4 linked regions of the Nothobranchius furzeri genome follow. The main gene of each other region encodes a partner of the protein of the gene in region 3 in a complex. Links are inferred from orthologs where the notes say so. Each region holds a gene or a part of one and is shown on either strand. Other genes may lie near its edges.

Region 1 (5,503 bases), on a different chromosome or scaffold from region 3:
GAGGCATGAAGAGTCCTGAAAGATTGGACCTTGAGGAGAGAATGTTATTGTTGACATTTCGTTATCTGTGTTTAAAGCTGCAGGGAGGCTCTGAGCTCCAGCTGGTGTGATGAAGGCAGGCTGATTTAGAGGGGACACATGCAGTCTCGTGTCTCCCTTTTGACCAGATGTTGAATGGTCAAACTGTACCTAAAAACTGACCACTGTTGGACATTACACTTGTCAAAGGAAGCTGAGACTAAAGTCACCAGTAAGGGCCTAAATACACTTGCTTTTAATTACGCGTACGTGTTTATAATGGGCGACTAGCGTAGTTTGCAAATGTTAGAGTCGTTTGTGCGTGTCCTGTAAAATTACAGTGTGATACATTTGCAAACATGCAATATGTGAGTAACCAAAAGGAGGAGTTGTCACTTCACCCCTGGTTTAGAGGTATTACATACTATCTGTACTGCTGCTGTCCTATTTTCTGTCAGGATCTCAAAATTAACCACTTTCTGATCTCTTCTACACTGTAAAAAAAGACAGTCTCAAAAAGTAGTTTCAATTTATTTTTCCTATTTCACCTAAGTCTCCCTGATAAGTTTTAATTGTTGAACTCAATTTTGTGTGTTTTGATAATGAAAACTTAAAATTGCTTGATTTTTTCAACAGATGATTATATTTTCCTCATTCTCGTGCATTCAGTCAACTTAAAACTGCAATTTATAGATTAAAAAATGCCCCTGCCCACTGTGAAAGCTGCATTGGGTGAGGTGCATTGTGGGTAGTCATTTTCTTAGTTATTTTGTTCTAATTTGAGGTGTTTATGCCCATTTATTGTGGGCGGTCGTGTTGTCCTTAGTTTTTGCTTTGTTCAGTGTTCATTTAAACTGACATGACTCAAGTTTTTAAGGCAGGTGATGAACTTTTGCTTTTGACTTATTCTGGCCTACAATTTATTACAATGTATTGACACCATGTTTGTTTTGGTTGTACCCTATAAGCCCGAGATTTTATCTGGTCTGAGTTCTCTACTCTGTCCCCTAGTGTAAAACTCCAACATTACATGTAGTGCAGCAGCAAGTACGTGATCAAGATGCAGCCTGCTGCCTGCGTCAGCGCGAGGTCAAAAAGCAAGTAAATTCCCAGGCCAACACACCTCCTAGCTAAAGTCTGCATGCCCTAGTTAACACCACCTAGAACCAGTTAGACCGAGTCATAACTAGCTAGATCCAATTAGAACCAGTTGGATCCAGTCTCAACCAGCAAACCAGTTAGAACCTGACCCAATGATTCTCTGAAGCACCTTAGTGAGGAACTGCAGCATCTAAGTGAGGACGGATACATTTTGTATGAATTCTGATTCAACATGACACAGATTTTATTTGAGCTCAGGCAGACGAACCACCAAGTGTTACTCCTTCCACCGGGTTAACCGTAACACACCTAGAGCAGGTCTACCTGATCTCTTCACCCGTGGGAAACACAAAACTAAAGATTACTGAATTGGTTTGTTCGGCCCTGTTTCGCACCGTTTCACAGCTAATTTAATCTAAAATATTTTTGACTTTCTTCCGTCGGAAGATCAAATGATGACGGAGAGTTGGCGACACAGTGAGTCATTGAGATTTTCTGAACCAGAACCTGCAGCTCAGAAAACAATACGCTGTCTGTCTCAGCAGCTCCTAGAACCTCATCACCTTCTCAGCAGGCCGTGGGCTCTGTCTAGGCCCCGCCCACAACTCCCAGCATGCCAAGCAGCAGGAGCAGCATCACACATGGATTTGTATTTCCTGCATGAGAGGCAGGAAGCAGGTGAACCCTCTCCTTGTTGGAGATCATGTTTCTGGCGTCCTGAAGCGCGCTGACGGCGGCCATACTGGAGTTCAGGTCTCCGCTGGTGATCAGGTCAAACACGCATGCCTGATAGTAAACATCTTGGGCAGGAAGCAGCAATGCACAGTGGTCTTCAGCACTGACAGCAGCAGGTGCCAAAGAGTTCAGTAGAGGGGGGCGGAGTGTGTTGAGCTTCTGAGAGGCGGGGCATCCCCACATGCACAGCTGCAGGTCATGATCGGGTCCAAAAGCATCCACGATTTCCCGCGGTGAGCGGATTGAGAGGCTGAGAGAGCGTCCACTCTGACGCACCACCACCAGTGTGCCGATGTGAACCGCTCGAATCTCTGTGTGACGGCCTGGACTTTCGGTCCGAACCGTCAGGCTGCGGTGACCCCGCCGCTCGCCACTCCACACCGACCCGTCAGCGAACGCAGCAGGAACGTTGTCCAACTCCGCCTGGTACAGCTGCTGATCGATACACTGGCGCCAGTTCTTAAAGATGACAGTGATCTGACAAGAAACAAAACCAATGATCAACAAACATCAGTGCTTTCCGTGGTGGTGGTTGATCATCACGCAGGATCAGAATTCTGTTGGTTATTTTTTAGAAACCAAAATAGTGTTAGAACTTTGGATCTAGATGCTTCAAATGCTTATAGGAGTATCTCCTGAACTGGATCAGAATTTTTGGACCAGATCAGGACTTAAAAGGGTCCTATATCATGCAAAATCTACTTTTTGGAGCCAATGACTATGTTACATTCTTGTTTCCTCATGAAAAACGCTTTTAAAGAGGTTTTAGCTTCACACACAAGAAACAAATTCAGAGTTAGCATTAGCAGCTAGCTCCATGGAAGGCCTCAGCCTCAAGTGAAAAATGTTCAGCCATTTTGATTATCTGAACTTTATCATTAGTTGTGTCCTTTATGCATTTGAGCTCGGATGTTAATTCTGCATTTTTTGCCCAATGGGCATGGTCTGATCGTGCATGCAACAACTATGCTCCATTTTTTTGGCAAGTAATATTATATTTCTGTACTTTAATACAATGGCTGAATGGGGTAAAATGCACAGCATTTAAAGGTGTGGTTAACTGAAAACCCATTTTTTAATGATAACTTTGGCTCACCTTGGTCAGAACTGTGGGGTACGCCTCCCCTCTTGCTGGTGAGGTGGTGGCCTGTATGTACAGGTACTCATTATCTATGAGAGGCCACGCCCCCTGCACAGCACAGGTGTGGAAGTCGTTGTCGAAAGTTCTAATGTGCAGGTCTCCAAACACGCTGCAGTGCAGGAACTCTGGCAACCGGCCCTCTCGGCTGTAGAAGCTCTTCTCGTACAAGCAGGTGTCTGCTGACAGTGTGCCCTGAGGCAGAGGCCGTGGCTGGGCCGTGGGCCCCACCCTGGGGCAGTGATGCTGGATCAGCAGATCCTCGATGCCCTGAACTGCAGAGTGATATGCCAGGTCACCTCGACATGGCCGGGCCATCTTCTTGGTGCATATGGCATAGGTGCGCAGAGCGCTGCAGTAGCCGGCGTTCACCACCTCCCTGCTGACAGCTGAACCGCCGCCACTGCTCAGGTCAAAGGTCGCTGCCACAAACTCTGAGTTGCACCTCAGAATGTGGCAGGAAGCTCTGACTGAGGAGGGGAAAAAAGGTTTGATTTAACTTGAGTTGCTGATTAAAGAAATTCTCCTTCAAAATAAAAGAACATGCTCTTTGGATAAAGGCTTTTACTTTGAAGAATCCATATTCCAGCTCCTGAGACATCTGTAGCTAATCAGAGCAGTCCTGTTTATTCATTAAACACATAACTCATGACATCTTTATTTCACAGATCATTCACCTGATTATTAATGATCAACATATGCTCTGATTAGCTTTATCATAAATAAAGTACTTTGATTAATCAATGGAAAGCGTTCTTCTTCTCTTCTTCTGTCTCTTCTCCTGGAATGTAAACATACTGAACCAAGCGTCCGACCTTGTCGATGTTACTGTGTGAAGGGGCAGCTGTTAAGGGCAGACAATAGGATCTTGATAACGCTACAACCCTCAGAGGGAAGGTTGCTGGTTCAAATCTGCTTTCTTAGTTTTCTCAATTCTGACGTCTCACTTCCTGTGAAGGCACAGTAAAATTCCTAGAATCAGGAAGTTGTGTGTGTGTACCTTCAGGTAGACTCAGCTGGACCAGTAGCAAAGTCAGGTGGATGCAGGGTTTCCATGGTAACAGGACAACTCTTAACACTGCCTGTGACTCCATCAGCAGGCCGACGACAGGTTGAGAGGAGAGAACTCTGGAAAAAACACACACACACAATGTTACACTCACCTGCGTGTGAATCCCCTCCCCCTCCCCTCCAGGTGTTAATGAGCTACTCCTATCATAGAAAATTCTGAGACAGATGATGCTTCCTGCCTCCTCCCCGGCTGTTCATCAGTATGAATCACAGATGGAGTGGAAGTAGTGTTCTGTGGTCCATCAGAACCGTTTATCTGAGGTCATCATTCACTGTCAGTCTGGTTTTATCTGAATTTACTGCAGCAGGTTTGAAGTCATCACAATAGAAGTTTGATTTCTGAAGAATTAGATTCATCTGAGGCCATTAGCTGCCTCTGATCAGCTGTTAGAAGCAGGAACGTCTCCAATTTCCAGCCGAATAGATGATCCACATGTATGAGGAACTTCAGCTTCAGGAAGCTTTCCCAGGAGAACGTTCCTGGAGATCTGAAGCACTGAGAGGACAAGCTATCTGAAATCATGACTCATTTACCATCAGTCTGATCTTCCAGCTGCAGCATGATGCTGAAACTGTGCTGGGACCTCATTTATCAAGCTTGCTTACACGCAAAACGGGGTCAGAAATCTATGCAAGCAACTTTCTATGCAAACTTTGGGATTTATAAAAGAAAACGTAGCGGAAAAATGTGCGCAACTTTAAGTTGACTAAGGACCTGGCTTACGCACATTTTGGACATGGAGGGCACCTGCAGTGCTGCTGCTGAGAAGGATAACATTGTGAATTCCAGCAGCATTACCACTTGTACCGCTTCATGCACACACAGAACAAGACCCCGGGATGTGATCCAAAAACACCGGAGCACATTTCTCGGTAGTTAGTGATTTATAAAGCAGAGATTGTGTGCAGCTGTGTGTACTCCATGTTTTATAGGTCACAAACCTACTAGGCGTAAGTAAATCTTTTTTGCTGAGCTCAAGTACAGTTTTAGTAAGGATTTTACACAATGTTTTATAAATAAGACCCCTGGACTTTAAAGGTTCTGTGTCATTCACAGTTGGACTTTTGCCTGTTTTGATTTTTTATCTGTAGAACAAACATCAGCAGCGAGGGGCAGGGCTTAGAGTGATTCCCCACAACGATTGGTTCAACCTTCAGACTTCTAACAGAAAAAAGATTCAAAACTAACTGTATTAAATTAAAAAAGTTTGTTTGATTTTGAACGTTTGATTCATCAGATGAAGATTTGTTTCAGTGTTTTACTTCAGATGAGTTTCAACATTGTGTCTCGTTTTAGGCGTGTGGATGAAATCTTATTGATTAAAACTCGTTTTTTTTCTGCACTTTTATTTTTTCAGCTCATAAAAATAGGATTTCCACATTTAGGAATAATAAATTTAATCCAATCAAGAGAGAAAACAGAACATCAGGAAACCAGAT
Region 2 (4,891 bases), on a different chromosome or scaffold from region 3:
GCTGACAACAAAATTACAGAAAAATTATCAATGGAAATCAAATTTATCAAACCATGGAGGTCTGGATTTGGAGGGTTAGGGTTAGGGTGATCCAACTTTGATGTAATGCTCTTAAAACAACTCATAATGAGTATCGGTAGTGTGTGTGGCCTCCATCTCCCTGTATGACTTCCCTACAATGCCTGAGCATGCTTCTGATGATGTGGCAGATGGTCTCCTGAGAGATCTCCTCCCAGACTTGGACTAAAGCATCTACCAACTCCTGGACAATCTGTGGTGCAACTTGGCATTGGTGAATGGATCGAGACATGATGTCCCAGATGTGCTCAATAGGATTCAGGCTTGGGGAACGATGGGACCAATCCATAGCATCAATGCTTTCGTCTTGCAACAACTGCTGACACACTCCAGCCACATGAGTCTTGCATGGGGAAGAACGCAGGTCCAACCGCACCAGCAGATGGGGTCTGAGGATCTCATCTCGGTACCTAATGACAGACAAACTACCTCTGGCGATCACATGGAAGGCCCCCCCAAAGAAATGCCATCCCACACTATAACTGACCCACTGCCAAATCAGTCATGCTGGAGGATATTGCAGCTCTCCATGGCATCTCCAGACTCTGTCATGTCTGTCACATGTGCTCAGTGTGAACCTGCTTTCATCTGTGAAGAGCACAGGGCACCAGTGGCCAATTTGCCAATCTTGGTGTTCTCTGGCAAATGCTAAACATCCTGCACGGTGTTGGGCTGTAAGCACAACTCTACATATGAATGTTGGGCCCTCAAACCACCCTCACAGAGTCTGTTTCTGACCGTTTCATCAGACACATGCATTGTGGCCCGCTGGAGGTCATTTTGCAGGGCTCTGGCAGTGCTCCTCCTGTTCCTCCTTGTGCAAAAACAGAGGTAGCAGTCCTGCTGCTGGGTTGTTGCCCTCCAATGGCCTCCTCCACATCTCTTGATGTACTGGCCTGTCTCCTGGTAGCGCCTCCATGCTCTGGACGCTACCTGCGCCACTTGTGTGGGTTGTAGACTCATGTTGCCACTAGAGTGCAAGGACCGCCAGCACTCATAAGTGAACCAAAACATGAGCGAGAAATCATACGAACTGAGGAGTGGTCTGTGGTCACCACCTGCAGAAGCACTCCTTTATTGGGGATCTCTTGCTAATTGCCTATAATTTGTTGCCTTTTCCGTTTGCACAACAGCATGTGAAACTGATTGTGTCGGTTTTGCTTCCTAAGTGGACAGTTTGATATCACAGAAGTGTGACTGACATAGAGTTACATTGTGTTGTTGAAGTATTCCCTTTATTGTTATTTTTTGAACAGTGTATATATAAATGTTCAATTCTTCAAGGAGTCTTAATTTTTGTTTTAACACAAAGGTCCACCAGGGGGCAGTAAAAAACTGCAAGTTATAAAAAAAACTGATTTTGTTCTAAAGATGCAGGAGACACAGGCAGCAGCTCATTCACATGATGTTGTCTTTTATTCAATAAATAACTTACAATACCAACAGCTGGCATGAGGGACCACATGATATTTACATTAAACTGTTTGATCTTTCTTGCTTTTCCCATTCAGCCTTTTATTTTACTCTTTTTAACCAACACATGCTCAAAACAAAAACAGCTGAATAAAAAACATAAAGTGCTTTAAACTCAAAAACATGAGCGCCACTAAAACATTTCCCTACATTCTCTTTTTCCGAGTTAAGGTGGGTTGTTTTTTTTTAAGTGTGTGTCATCGATTCACCAATAACAGTGGAGACTGATCTGTTCTGTGGCGTTCATGTTGTTGAAAACAATTTAAAAAAAATTCAAATTAAAAGTCCCTTTTTTTAAAAAGAAAACATAAAAGGCTCACATTCACTGAAAGATTCTCTTTTTGTGTACAAAAACTGGAGTGGTGAATTCAAAACACAACAGGTGAGATACAAAATTTCAACACAACTCCACAAAACGTATGTACAATCTCACATAGTACAACCATTTACTGTTAAAACACACAGTATATCTAAAGTCACAATCAGCTGTTTGTAGGACTGTTTATGCATAACTCTGCCGTGCACTTCAGTGTAATCGATAAGTGATCTTAAAACTGCGTCTACCGGGGAAGACCAAACGTATCTCAGCAGGGGGAAGAGAGAGAACACCAAACACAAGAAAAGGTGAAGGTATTGCGTCATCACGCGGCGAGAAATCACCAACAAACATGAGTTATATACAACTAAGTCCTAATGTTTGAGGGTAGGAGATGGAAATGTACTCGTCAGGCAAATGTTGGCACAAGAGCGCGTTCTTTGGCAAGCGACTGAAGCCATGAAAGCATGTTTCCAGACATATTGTTTAGCCACAGAGACTCGGGTCAGCCCGCTACAATGGAAGTCTGTAAATGCTTAACCAGGTAGAGGTGACGTCTTTGACGGCAGAAACACCGGAACCCGCATCGCTGTACAGCTTGGGTTCATTATAAAGAGTTTGATTGGCCGATCGAGGTTAGATTAGTTCACACTTGGCCCAAATCCGAGCTTCGGCTAAATTTTGGGTGCAGCACAAAGACATGAGAAAAATTTCTCCCACTGGAGTTTCTTTTTTTTTTCTCCCTATACATACATACATACATACATACATACATACATACATACATACATACATACATATATATAAGGGAATTCCTGCACTTACAAACACACAAAATCAACCACTGATGCAAGATTCTGCACACATATTCCACGCGCACGCACGCACGCACGCACGCACACACGCGCACACACACACACACACACACACACACACACACACACACACACACACACACACACACACACACACACACACACACAAACCTAACAATATGACCCATTAATCTCCACAGCAGACAACTGGAGACGCTGCTATGACATCCTTTTGGCTGGATGCTTCCTCCAGAAAGGCTCGGGCTTTTCCAAAGCTGGAAGCTAATCAAACATAGAGCTGCTTCTGGCCTAAAAGGTTAACAAAAGCCTCTGTCAGGTCCTCCTGCTCAGCCACATGAGCCACAGAGAGCTTCCCTGGCTCGGCACCAATGTGCGGATCAGGAGAAGGGAGGATCAGCGAACCCCTCTTTCTGCAAAAGATCATCTTGTCCGGCTTTCCCACAGGCACGCAGCCCTGATGAGAGTGTGGGATTTAATCCCAGGTGGATATCCAGAGCTCTCCCACTGCTGCCCTCTTCAAAGATTAAAACCAGTTAAATACACGTGATGATAGGTGGTGAGCCCGTCTTTGTATTGACGTCAGGATGAGACTAGACGACTGAAATAAGACTTGAGGCAGCACTGACCTACGGGTGAAACCTCCAGTCATCAAGAGGCAGAACAGATGCGAGAGGCTGGGAAATGACACAGACTGACATTAAAGGCAGGAAGACACTGCTGTAAACCGACTATAGATGGATTGTGCAGCACTCCGTCCACAATAGGACAGCTAAGACATTCAGGAGGAAGACCAGCAGTACATTTTTGCCCTCTCGTGTTGCGCCGCTTAAAGCATCTTTTTCAAAGATGTGGTATCTCTTGCTGTTTGAGTGGAGCATTTTTACATCCTCAAAGGCGTAGTAGGCGGCCATGGTGAAGTTAATGTCTCCAGAGGACAGCAGATCAAACACACAGGACTGGAAGTACAGATCCTCCACTGGGAGCCGCTCTTTACACTTGGCCTTGGCGGACTTGAAGGTGAAGCCTTGCGTCCCAGAGCTGCTCCTTGGCCTGCCCGTGCTGTGAGCCTCCCCCGCTCTGGTTCTAACACTCCTGAAGTCGATGCGCTGGTTGGCGGGGCAGCCATGAAGACACAAGTACAAGTCCTGGTTATCACCCTCCTCCACCGAATTCACAACCTCCTCTGGCATTCGAATGGCGAAGGTCAGGTAGCGGCCCACCTGCCGGACTACAATGGTTGTCCCGATATACCTGGCCTGGATCTCCACGTGCTGCCCGGGCACCTTCTCCACCACTCGCAGGGTGCTGACTCCGTTTGGATCGCCACCATTTCTGGAGCCGTCGGCGAACGCAGCAGGCAGCTCGTCCGTCTCGGCGTGGTACGTCTTCTGCTCCACGCATTCCTGGAAGTTCTTGAAGATGATCGTCAGCTGCAGGAGGAGAGAGCAGCACCAAACATCAGACGTGTTCGCCTTCAGAACTAAGTGAAAGCAGCATTCATGAACTCACGACTAAAACACGTAATAAAAGAGAAGATTTTTTTCATCTTGTCACTGAGAACAAGTTTGTGCTATACGTGCCACCTCAGCCCCCCTTCTACCCCACTCCAGTGTCACATTACAGGGCTGGCTCAACGAGGGGGGAGGCCAAGGTAAACGCCCTCCAAAAACACGAGTCCAGGCCATGTAAAATCAGGCCTCAGTTTGCAGACACAAAGACGATCTATTCATAGCGCTGGAAAACCTGCCTGTGAACCCCCAGAACTATGCTCCGGGGAGTGGCGCGGGGCCAGGACACAGCGAGATACTCTGCAGCTAATTAAGTGGGACTGGTCAGGACTCTCCGAGCTGGGTTACACGGGACACCAAGGAGCCATTGTCACAGGACCAAGCCACGTACTCTGATGTCTGTGTCAAACCAGCCCCGTCCCTTCACACACCTCCCTCAGCTTCTGTTTCCTGTCTCGTTTCTTTAAAAAGTGACTGGATGAAACAAATAATAGAGGACAACAGCTCCTGTGATGGCCCCGTCTGAATTAATCTGCCACAGAGAGAGGACTCTACCCAGCAGCACATCTTTTACCACCAGAGCCGTGTTTGCACAGGTGCCACTTGCTGCTGCTTTGTTTCCTCTTTTGTCCACAGTCTTGTGCACTAAAAAAAGCCTCTCATGTGCTTCCAAGAATAGC
Region 3 (5,371 bases):
GCCAGAAACGTGGAAGGGCCTTCTTTTCCATCTCCTGTGACTGTTAAGCGTATACTTAAGTCCGCTGGCATTCCCCTCTGTGGTGCAAATGGCAGAAGTGTTGGTAAAAGCTACAATTTGCTTTGAGGCGGCCCTGCTTTGAACTTTTACTTCATGCAGATCATAGACAAGCCATAGACATGCAGTTTAATCTGGTTTGTGCGGCAAAGTAGCGCAAACCTCAAACTCTTATCTGTTCAAAGGAGCCATTTAGGAAATTCCACGATCTGGTCCTAAACCCCCCTCCAGAGGCACAAAGACCTCAATTAGACCCATCACTACTCATTTGATGTGGGAAAGCCCCCTCTCTCATTCTCGCTCCTCTTCACCCAATCCTACTCTTCTTTTTTTGTTTTTTATCAGCACCCAAATCCCCCTCTTTCCCCTCCGTCCTTTTAGAGATCCTCTTCTCTTGTCTTCTCTGTCACCGTTTTCTCAGTTCCTTTCTGCAACTGTTCTCGATCTCGGTCTGGAACTGCTGTGTGAACAAGTTTATGCTTGTCAAAAGCACGCGAACCACAGATTTCCACAGCTTTATTTTTGTGCCACTCGCCAAAACAAAAGATAGATGCTAATATTGGATCGGCCATCTCTGGCAGCTGCGTCCTGTGCTACGGTGGAAAGGCTCTATTTGACTCGAGTTATTCCTGAAAACCAATTGTCCGAGCGAAAGGAGCATGGCGTGGCAGACGTGACGAAGGCTTGGAGCTGTTTGCTTTGATGTGCTGCATTAACATCTGTAGATCCGTGCTTATTACAGGGGGAACAATCCCTCGACGCGATACGGGAAGCCTAATAACCGCGCGGCTGTTAGCATAGGACGAAAAGAGCCAGGAGAAGACGTGTAAATGTCAACGTGTGTTGGCTGAGTGCAGAGGTTTCCAGCGGTGAGCTGGGAGCAGTCACTCAACCCTGCTGCTCAGGGTTGTTTGTAGTGTGTCAGTGTAGCCACTTGGTGTCATTGCACTAGGCCTTTGGAGAGCACCCAAGCAACCACTCAACCACCCCTCTGACTCACCCCTGATGGAAAGAAACTTCTCCACTCAAACACAGGACTCTGTATGAGGACTCTGCGCAGGGCCCCAATGGACCCAGCAACGTGGGTCACATTAAGATAAATAGATGTGCAAATCTACTATACCGGGAATAAGATGTTTATTATACAAAAACGTAAACATCGAGTGCTCCTGCTTTTAAAGCTGTTATAAACAAAGCATCATTTACTTTGTTAAAATACTGTTTAAATCCACATTTTAACAGCTGATCCAGAGTCTGCAAAACGTTTATTTTCATCCGAGAGGTGAATGAGTCATGTTTAAATATAGGTTTTTAAATTCAACTGAACTGAGACTTGTAGTTCAACTATCGCTGTCTTCTCCAAACTGGTTCACGCGTAATGATGCACAACTGGAAGCAACAGGAAGAAGGGAAGCCACGCCTCCTCTACGGCGTTACCAAGAGCTAATTTGAGTCTTGTTAAAGGTGACTCAGTCTGACACGGTGACTTCGTCATCGTGTGTGTTGCTCTGATGTCGGTTGTTTTTTGAAGTTGCAGGGTGACGTCTATCACCTGCGCACAGGCGCACCGCCCTTTATGCTGCTCCCGTGGTGCGTGTCTGGAAAAACAGTTTTCAGAATCCCACGCAAACACCATCAATTATTAAGAAACTAATGACCCCGGGGATACCGCCGCCCCTGATGTTTCTGAAGCCTGTGACAGCTGTGCTGGAGGGATGTTTGTCTAAATGTTGCACTGCTGCTTAGGTGAGAAAAGTCAACTTTGATGTGATTTTTGTGCATCAATCTTTAAGTTAAAGCATTTTTTAAGGTTGCAAATACCTTCGGAGCATGTCATCTGTAAATGACTAAACCTTCAGAAAACAGGGAAGACTCTGAAGTTCAGTGTTGACGATCTGAGTCATGTTTAAATATAGGTTTGCGCTGTCTGAGAGAGACATGTAAAGGTATGTCACTAATATATACCTTCATGGTGAAAGCTTCTAATCGTGTTGGCCTTGCTGGCGGCTCTCTCTGCGTGCTTCCCCATGCTCTTGGGCCGCTTAGTGCTGTGGTCTCCGTTCGCAGAGTGCATCCGGTAAAGGTCCACCATGTACTGGGGCACCACGGCTTGTTTGCTGGGGGTCGGCCTGCGTCTCAGCCCGAACATGTTGAGAAGCCGCAGCTCGAACTCGTTGAGGAAGCTCTCCGACTGCTCAGGGGTCTGTTTCCCGGATTCGCTGTACTTCCTCCGGCCTACCTCGGGGATGAGTCCCGCAGCACCTTCCAGCAGCACCTGAGCGAGCATCAGTACCATGAGAGAGCGGACCACGGCGACCATGATCAGTCAGTCCCTGTGGAGAAAGTTGGTTTCTGTCAATACACTGGCAGGCAATGTGGTATTGACGTGAGGTGGTCCCAGCTAGGCTCTCGCGGCAGCAGTTCCCAAATCCCCCCTCAGAGCGTAAAACTGAAGGGGAGCAGGTTAAAAAGGGGGAGACACCTCTTCACTTTGAAGTGCAGAAGAAAAAGAAAGAAAGAAAGAAAGAAAGAAAGAAAGAAAGAAAGAAAGAAAGAAAGAAAGAAAAACCCAGAGGCTAAACTGCTCCTCTAGTTTGGGTTGAACATGAACCCTAACATGAAATATCAAGGTGAAAAACTAATGACAGAGGTGGATTAAACAGACAAATCAAAGGATTTGAAGGGAAACGCTGCAGACAAAAGGTCTCCAGCGAGAAGAGATAAGAGATCTTGTTGCAGATATGAAAGTCCATGCAGAGAGAAGGATCAAAGGAAGAACACGCATCAGTTCCAGTCCCACTGCGCGCTGTTTGCATGTAATCATAAAGGATAGTTACTTCAAGAGGCTTGCAGGTGTTAGATCTGACGTGTGCCCCACAGCCAGGCATCAGAAACACAGACGGAGTCAAACAACTTCCACACAGACAACTTTTACCTCTATTTTCATTTTCTGTTTCTCCGTGGCTCAACAGGCGGAGGCTTTACGCACGAATTTATTATTAGAAACAAATGAGCTGTCACTTGTGAAGTGACCTTTCTGTGTTCAGTCCAAGTGCGGATTCAGGTTAAAACCTCCACATCGATGGTTATTCTTTATTCTAGCGATTTACCTGACGAGAACGCGCGGTGTCCGGTCGTCGTTCCACCTTTAAGCTCCGATAAATTCCACATTAATTCGTGTTTAATCCACGCTGCTTCTGCTTGGGGGACCGAAAACAGCCCGCGCCCTCCGCCGATCGCTTCTCGCACATATTCTCACCAGCTGCGCGTCGGGTTCGGGTCTTGCTCAGTCCGGAGAGGAAAGAAAAAAAGTAGAAAAATTAAGTCTACGAGGAAGCGGCTGCGCGCAGGCATAGCCGAACTAAGTGCGAGGAAGCTTGTCTGGACATTTTTAAAATTAGAAAAAAGAAAAGCTGAAAGTGGAGAAACGTGGAGCGTCGCGCGATGTTCGTGGAGAGATGAGCGCAGTGAAGTTGGTGCTCGGAGAGGGAGAGCTCTCCGGAGCGGGTCTATTGATTGGTGCCTTCTCTTTCCCCTGCGACGCTTTTTGTCCTACAGTGATGTCACTGGGCTGTCAGTCATCTGTCCAAACCGCACCACTTCCTGTGCGTAACTCCCGCAGGAGAAAAATCCCTCATTTCTAACTTCACAATGGAAAACTGTTTAAACTTTATTCCTCTCCCCTTCAGCAAACATCTACAAATGTGATTTGGATTAAAATCTGTAACAGGACCACCAAGAACAGGTGGAAGAGCTGGCAGGAGTTTATGAGCTGAGTTTATTACTACAATTTTTAACCAAGTATTTCCCCTCAGAATGTGTACTCAGCATATTTGAAGAAAAAAAAGTACTTTTTGTTTGCTTCTTTTGACAAACAAGTACTTTTGTTTGTTTGTTTTGCCAAAATAGATTCAGTGCATTTGAGATTCAAAAGGTTGCCAATGATCAAAATGCAAAATGTAGTGAGAAAAATGAACTATGTGGGACATTTGCAGTTATTAACAGTTTTTTCCTTTTAGCAAACACAACACGTTATTAAGGAATTACTTAAATCAACCAAATAGAAAGAATAAACAGGCTTCATCATATAATTTTACATTAACCCTTTGATGCATAATGGTCACTATACAGTGGACAGGTATTCAAAATTGTTATTTGTTTATTTTACAGCTGTTGAAGACTTTATTGCAATTGAGCTCCTTCATTTGGACTTCAGTAAGTCAAGCCAACATATTTCGTGTTCAGAATGCACGCTGTCCCCTGAGATGGACATGTAATAAATTATTTGTAAATTAACAAAATACTACAAATAATATTTGCTGAAATTTGTTTCATTCACACCTACAGATGAATGAAAAAAAAGTTTAAAAAATCATGGTTGAAGATTTCATAATTCATGCATCAAAGGGTTAATTTGTAATAAATATGACGAAACCAATTCCTTTCAACCTCTTAATTTCCTGTTATATGAACAAAATATCATTTTTTATCACTTTTAAAGGACAGTTGTGTTAATTAACTATCAAGTTTCTAAATGATCAAACTTGAGGTTTGTTGCCACGGATAAGAAAAAAAATCAATTCATTTGAAAAATGTAAACCCTAAACTGCTTTTAACCTGTTAAACCTGCAGCTCTTCCCAGCTGACGTCATCCGTCCAATATGGCGCACCTGTTGACATTTCTTTGCCATTACCTGAAACCCCTTCAACGGAAGGTCTAAATATGTATGCCTTTGCTTCACGAGTGAAACCATTTTGTATTTTAAGAATTATTATGAATCAGTGGAATAAGATAAAGACTGAACGTTTTGTGGCAATGTCGTAACTGACCATTATTTTGAACTCTCGTTGGTTTTTGTAAAGATAAATACATAAAACAAAGAAAGAAATAACTACAAATGTCTTATTTTTATATTTACAGTAATAGTCTGTAGACTGTTCTTTGAACAGCCTTAGTTTGGTGAAACAGAGATTAGTTTGGACCGGCCTACTAAACATAAATACAAATTGATTTCTGTGATTTTAAAATAAATTGGATGGTTTTCAACACAATTTTGAACCTTGATGGTTCTGTCAGCTTCTTAATTATTAACTCATTCACTGCCAGCCGTTTCCTGGTCAGAGAAGCCCTTCACTGCCAGCATTTTTTAGAGTTTTCAAAGTTTTTTGGAAGAGTCACAGAACAGTGCGCTCCACGATGATGCCAACGCCAAAACAACCAAAACAACCAAAACAAAATGGAGACTCATCTCTTACATCAGGAAGAATCCGCACATTTTGAACGTTATCCGTTCTTTCATAATCCGTTGTCGAA
Region 4 (4,919 bases), on a different chromosome or scaffold from region 3:
ACCCACTTTTTACTGCTGTATGACAAGGATTAGACTATATACATATCATATATTAGGTTTTATAACCAAGTTTTGCTAATATGGAGGAGATGAGCGTCTTGTTTTGTTCCTACCAGCAGGGGGAGCCCCGAACCGCTGCCAGAGCTCTGTGACTGATGAATGAGGTCTTTGAGTGACTCGCCATCTCTGATGAACACTTCCTGTTCTGTGTCTTTGGGATATCGTTCACGTTCAGTCTGCAGCTTGTACCTGTTAAAACACACACACACACACACACGCACACACACACACACGAGTAAGTCCTAAAAACATCTGCAGGAAATGTTTGGATCTGGTCTTTTTTCCTGATATGGGCATTTAGGTGTGTGTTTATGTATAATAAATATGAATAACGTTGGTTTTGAGGAGAATTATTAGATGATTTTAGTTCTGATTGTTGGTTTAATCATAAAATTATTTAATATCTGAAGAGTTCTAATCCTGGATTATTGGGGTTCTGATATCCATCTTTAATCAATCGAACATCTTCAATATTAAAATAAATGTAAATGATAAATGACCTGCACTTGTATAAGACCTTTCAGAGCCAGAGGACTCCAAAGCGCTTTGATCTACAGTGTATCATTCACCCAGTCACACCAACTTGGTCACTGGTACCCACAGAAGCCCTTTTTAAAGAAAAAGTAATAAAAATAAGACTTGCAGACTCCTGCTGACAATAAGCTCTAGACATGAAGCCGTCTCTTGGACGAGAGGTAAAACATCTTCAAGATAACAAGAAAAGTCCTGTTGTTTTCCTGACGTTGTTACCAGATGATATTACATATGTTCTTTTCCGGATTTGGTTAACTGGTGTGAAATGATGCTGTTGTTACACGATGTTACATGCTGTTGTTACACGATGTTACATGCTGTTGTTACACGATGTTACATGCTGTTGTTACATGATGTTACATGCTGTTGTTACATGATGTTACATGCTGTTGTTACACGATGTTACATGCTGTTGTTACATAATGTTACATGCTGTTGTTACATGATGTTACATGCTGTTGTTACAAGCTGTTGTTACACGCTGTTGTTACATGATGTTACATGCTGTTGTTACACGATGTTACATGCTGTTGTTACATAATGTTACATGCTGTTGTTACATGATGTTACATGCTGTTGTTACAAGCTGTTGTTACACGCTGTTGTTACATGATGTTACATGCTGTTGTTACACGATGTTACATGCTGTTGTTACATAATGTTACATGCTGTTGTTACATGATGTTACATGCTGTTGTTACAAGCTGTTACATGCTGTTGTTACATGATGTGGGTAAATGAGCATTGTATTCCTGCTAGTATAAAATAGTTGTTGATATCATCATTTTTAATTATGACTAGTAAAAAATAAAATCCAGATTAAGATTAATTATATTGCAGCCATGTAAAATAGGTATTACAAATAGGTGTGCTTGTTGATAAAATGTTAAAATGCCTTGCCATCGTGGGTCAGGTCTGCTTTCGCAGCCAAACATGGTCCATGCTTCAGCTCACACCATGAACGGGGAGGTGCTTTATTAAATAACTGGTGTTTCCATTTTAAGTGACAAAAAACGGAACACTGGTGTTACATTTAGCTCTGTTGCTGTTTACTGTGAAGCAATTTGTGTCAAAATCACTTTTGCGTCTGTGAACAATGCTATATAAATGGAAAAAAAAAAGATGTTGTAATGTTGTAATCTCATTTAATCTCTGATGCTGTAACCTGATGTTGGTCCCTGATGTTGTAACCTCATTTTAATCCCAGATTTTTGTCCCTAATGTTGTAACCCGATGTTGGTCCCTGATGCTGTAATCTCATTTTAATCCCTGATTGTGTAACCTGATGTTGGTCCCTGATGTTGTAACCTGATTTTAATCCCTGATGTATAAACTGATTTTGAACCCTGATGTATAAACTGATTTTAAACCCTGATGTTGGGTCCCGATGTTGTAACCTGATTTTAATCCCTGATGTCAGCCGTTGATGTTGTAACCTGATTTTAATCTATGATGTTGGTCCCTGATGTTGTAACCTGATTTTAATCCCTGATGTTATAAACTGATTTTAAACCCTGATGTTGGTCCCTGATGTTGTACCCTCATTTTAATCCCTGATGTTGTGACTTGATTTTAATCCCTAATGTTGTAACCCGATTTTGGTGCCTGATGTTGTCTAGTTCTAATCTTATAGTCTTTTGTCCGGTTGTGTTGTTACCTGATGTCATGACTGATGACTATGCTGTTAAAACCCGTTCTCACACAATCTCATCTCTTTTGTGTGGCTTTTTCATCAGCTTTTCTGATGCCACTAGGCTAAAGAAATTCCTTTGTTGAAAGGTGACGCGTCTCCTCCACTCATAACGTGACTTGGGATCAGTCATGTGACCCGCTGTGGCACATTAGGACATTAATACATATTTTGATATCAGTACCAACCAAATGTTTTTCCTTAAAGAGGTCCAGGGTTCTGGCACCCATCCCTAGGTGTCAGTCAACCTTTTTTATGGTCTGCTAAGTTTCTTCTCTGCTGGAGGTTGTGTTTACCGTTTGTATCACTGCTGTAGCGCGGGAGCTGACTACGTCACGTGTTCGGACTATTTTGACCCGAGGCTGCGCTGCGTTCGCAATTATTGATTCCGCCACATTTTATTTATGCTACGTTTAGTAAAAACGATAGTGGTTGACAAATGAAACTTAAAAGGACAAATACAGTACAGATTTACATATAGCACACATTTTAAGACCCAGTTGTGAAAATTACTTTTTGAAGACTTTATAAGTTCTTATTTTAAAATTCCTAAATTCCAGACCCAGCGGGAACCCTGCATCAGTTCCACGTCAACCAGATTTTTAACAGGGTTTAAGACAATCCTTGTGAATGTTTTTGCTATTGTGCATCCCTACGGAAAACATCTTCCCCAGATGTGAAAAGCCGTTTAGCATTTCTAGAGCTGCTTTCAACCCATTTCCAGGTGAGTTCTTACCTGCAGTAGAAGATGATGGTGACGCAGACCAGAGTGCAGCAGCAAATTGTCATGGAGATGAGGAAGGCTAGCCAATGGGAGCGATTCTCTGCAGAAACAAGCAAAATTGACTTAAACCTGCAGCTGTATTTTTACCTGAATCACTGCTCTCAGATCAGCTGACAGGTTACCGGTGCTAATCTGTGGCGGTAGGGTGGGCCTCAGGTCTCCGTTACAGAAATCTGTGTTACAGCACTCGATTGTCCTCCTGGTCTGAGCATTGGGAGAGTCCTGTCATCCAACCAGAGAGCAGAAAATAAACATCTGTGGACTCTTTTAACATCTCAGGTCAACCAGAGACGACATCCATCTATCATTACTGATTTATTGTAAAAACTGAAAAAAATAAAAAAATAAAAATTAAATAAAAAAGATAAATATGATATAAAGCACATTTTAAACAGAAACCATTTTCAAGAAACTTTTTGCAGCAAATCTTCACTTATTCCAGTTTCAAAACCAAGGTTAAAGAACCGTGTTACCGTTCAAAACCAACAGAATCCATTTATTAAAGGCAACAAGAGGCAAAAATATCAGCCAAAAAAATCTATCAAATGGCTCCAGCCTGCAGAGATCTGAAGCTCCTTTAGGTCTGAGCAGCATCTGACCTTGTGTTTGTGCAGGTGAACCCACCGAAGTGTGTGTGACATCAGCATACCTTGCACTGGAAGTGAGAGCCTTCATACTTCATGCAGCCGGAGGTGAGCTGGGAATCTCCGTTCTCGTCCTCCTCGATGATGGCGAAGCACTGACCGTTGGTCCTGAAGACACAAACGCACTAATGCACCGCTTTGAACCAGCAACCAGATTCATCTGAGACTTCATGGGGGGGACCAACAGCATCTCAGCCCCGAGTCATTTAGCTCAGAAATAACTTCCTGATATTTGTATTTGTCTGTGAAGCTAAAAACAAATCCAATCGCACACGTATGATGGATTTAACTGTTCTGCTTCTGTTTATGAATGACAGCAGTAAAGTGGAGAACACCCCATAATGCCCAACTGGGTTCAGATGGAGTGCCTACTCACTGGCAGGTGTTGTTGACGGCGTCGTCAGGACAGTGACCTGAGCAGTAGCAGCTGAGGAATCGGGGGAGGTCTTCAGGCGCGATGGTGGAGTCCTCGCCGGGACGCCGGGCCTCAGGTTTCTCACCAACCCCCTGCAGAACGTGGTCAGGGTTCTGACCCGCGGCTGCACGGATAAATGAGGAATCAGCACTGGATTTACAGCTGGTCACACAAACAGACCCACAGATTAAAGGTGATTTTATTTGATGTGGAACAGCTGCAGCTCAGTGAGTCGAGTCAGATTTATCAGAGGAGGTGAAACATTCCTCCTCTATCAGCTGATGACAGGCTGCATGGAGGCACAGAGGAGGAGTGCCATATATGGAGCATAAAGCCAGGGGTCAAAGGGCACACACATGCACCACAGTTCAAACCAGTATGAAGCCTAATCTGGTTATTTCTGATACTAAAAATGTAAAAACTGTACTTCGTAGTGCTGGTTGGTGATTTTCTCCAGACTAACGTTTCTGTAAATGTTTCCTTATTAAGGCTCTCCTCAGAGTAAACACACACACACACACACACACACACACACACACACACACACACACACACACACACACACACACACACACACACACACACACACACACACACACACACACACACACACACTCTCTCTCTCTCTCTCTCTCTCTATCTCTCCCTCTCTCTGAACTGCCCGGTCGTCTCTCAGCTTTCCCAGTTCCATCGTGTTTTCCTTCCAATTGAAGCGGACTAACTCACACCAGACAGAGGAACCAGACTTACGCTGAGCCCTGATTGGCTGAGAGCCTGTGAGTGACAGGAAGA

What was found. Proteins that work in one complex are often made in the same cells at the same time.
Region 1: the proteins of bmp2b (region 3) and hjv are in contact, whole or in part, in a crystal structure (PDB 4UI1), measured with the Homo sapiens proteins. The link is inferred for Nothobranchius furzeri from reciprocal best matches to the Homo sapiens genes BMP2 and HJV. Residues at the interface, in NP_001191.1 of Homo sapiens: Phe331, Pro332, Ala334, Asp335, Leu337, Asn341, Ile344, Val345, Leu348, Ser351, Val352; in NP_001366281.1 of Homo sapiens: Leu40, Asn43, Tyr46, Val47, Tyr86, Leu101, Ala102, Ser105, Ala106, His108, Gly109, Ile110, Asp112, Leu113.
Region 2: the proteins of bmp2b (region 3) and rgma are in contact, whole or in part, in a crystal structure (PDB 4UHY), measured with the Homo sapiens proteins. The link is inferred for Nothobranchius furzeri from reciprocal best matches to the Homo sapiens genes BMP2 and RGMA. Residues at the interface, in NP_001191.1 of Homo sapiens: Val308, Gly309, Trp310, Asp312, Trp313, Met371, Tyr373, Leu374, Asp375, Glu376, Lys383, Tyr385, Met388; in NP_064596.2 of Homo sapiens: Arg91, Arg94, Gly95, Leu97, His100, Ser101, His104.
Region 4: the proteins of bmp2b (region 3) and bmpr1aa are in contact, whole or in part, in a crystal structure (PDB 2QJ9), measured with the Homo sapiens proteins. The link is inferred for Nothobranchius furzeri from reciprocal best matches to the Homo sapiens genes BMP2 and BMPR1A. Residues at the interface, in NP_001191.1 of Homo sapiens: Lys297, Pro330, Phe331, Pro332, Leu333, Ala334, Asp335, His336, Ser339, Asn341, Ile344, Val345, Leu348, Asn350, Ser351, Val352, Asn353, Ser354; in NP_001393490.1 of Homo sapiens: His66, Cys67, Pro68, Asp69, Ile77, Thr78, Asn79, Phe83, Ile85, Cys100, Met101, Lys102, Glu104, Gly105, Phe108, Gln109, Asp112, Arg120, Ile122.

Annotation. Positions count from the first base shown.
Region 1 is NC_091745.1:60,116,983-60,122,485, reverse strand, and holds the end of hjv (hemojuvelin), read right to left. Parts: intron 4,121-5,503; 5' UTR 4,087-4,120; coding exon 3,993-4,086; intron 3,463-3,992; coding exon 2,951-3,462; intron 2,332-2,950; coding exon 1,708-2,331; 3' UTR 1,476-1,707; downstream 1-1,475. UniProt on the Homo sapiens protein: Acts as a bone morphogenetic protein (BMP) coreceptor. Through enhancement of BMP signaling regulates hepcidin (HAMP) expression and regulates iron homeostasis.
Region 2 is NC_091744.1:69,273,125-69,278,015, forward strand, and holds the end of rgma (repulsive guidance molecule A), read right to left. Parts: intron 4,134-4,891; coding exon 3,432-4,133; 3' UTR 1,476-3,431; downstream 1-1,475.
Region 3 is NC_091742.1:22,692,576-22,697,946, forward strand, and holds the start of bmp2b (bone morphogenetic protein 2b), read right to left. Parts: upstream 3,346-5,371; 5' UTR 3,168-3,345; intron 2,391-3,167; 5' UTR 2,378-2,390; coding exon 2,023-2,377; intron 1-2,022. UniProt on the Homo sapiens protein: Growth factor of the TGF-beta superfamily that plays essential roles in many developmental processes, including cardiogenesis, neurogenesis, and osteogenesis. Induces cartilage and bone formation.
Region 4 is NC_091752.1:44,598,901-44,603,819, forward strand, and holds part of bmpr1aa (bone morphogenetic protein receptor, type IAa), read right to left. Parts: intron 4,252-4,919; coding exon 4,089-4,251; intron 3,821-4,088; coding exon 3,718-3,820; intron 3,291-3,717; coding exon 3,191-3,290; intron 3,109-3,190; coding exon 3,021-3,108; intron 250-3,020; coding exon 114-249; intron 1-113. UniProt on the Homo sapiens protein: On ligand binding, forms a receptor complex consisting of two type II and two type I transmembrane serine/threonine kinases.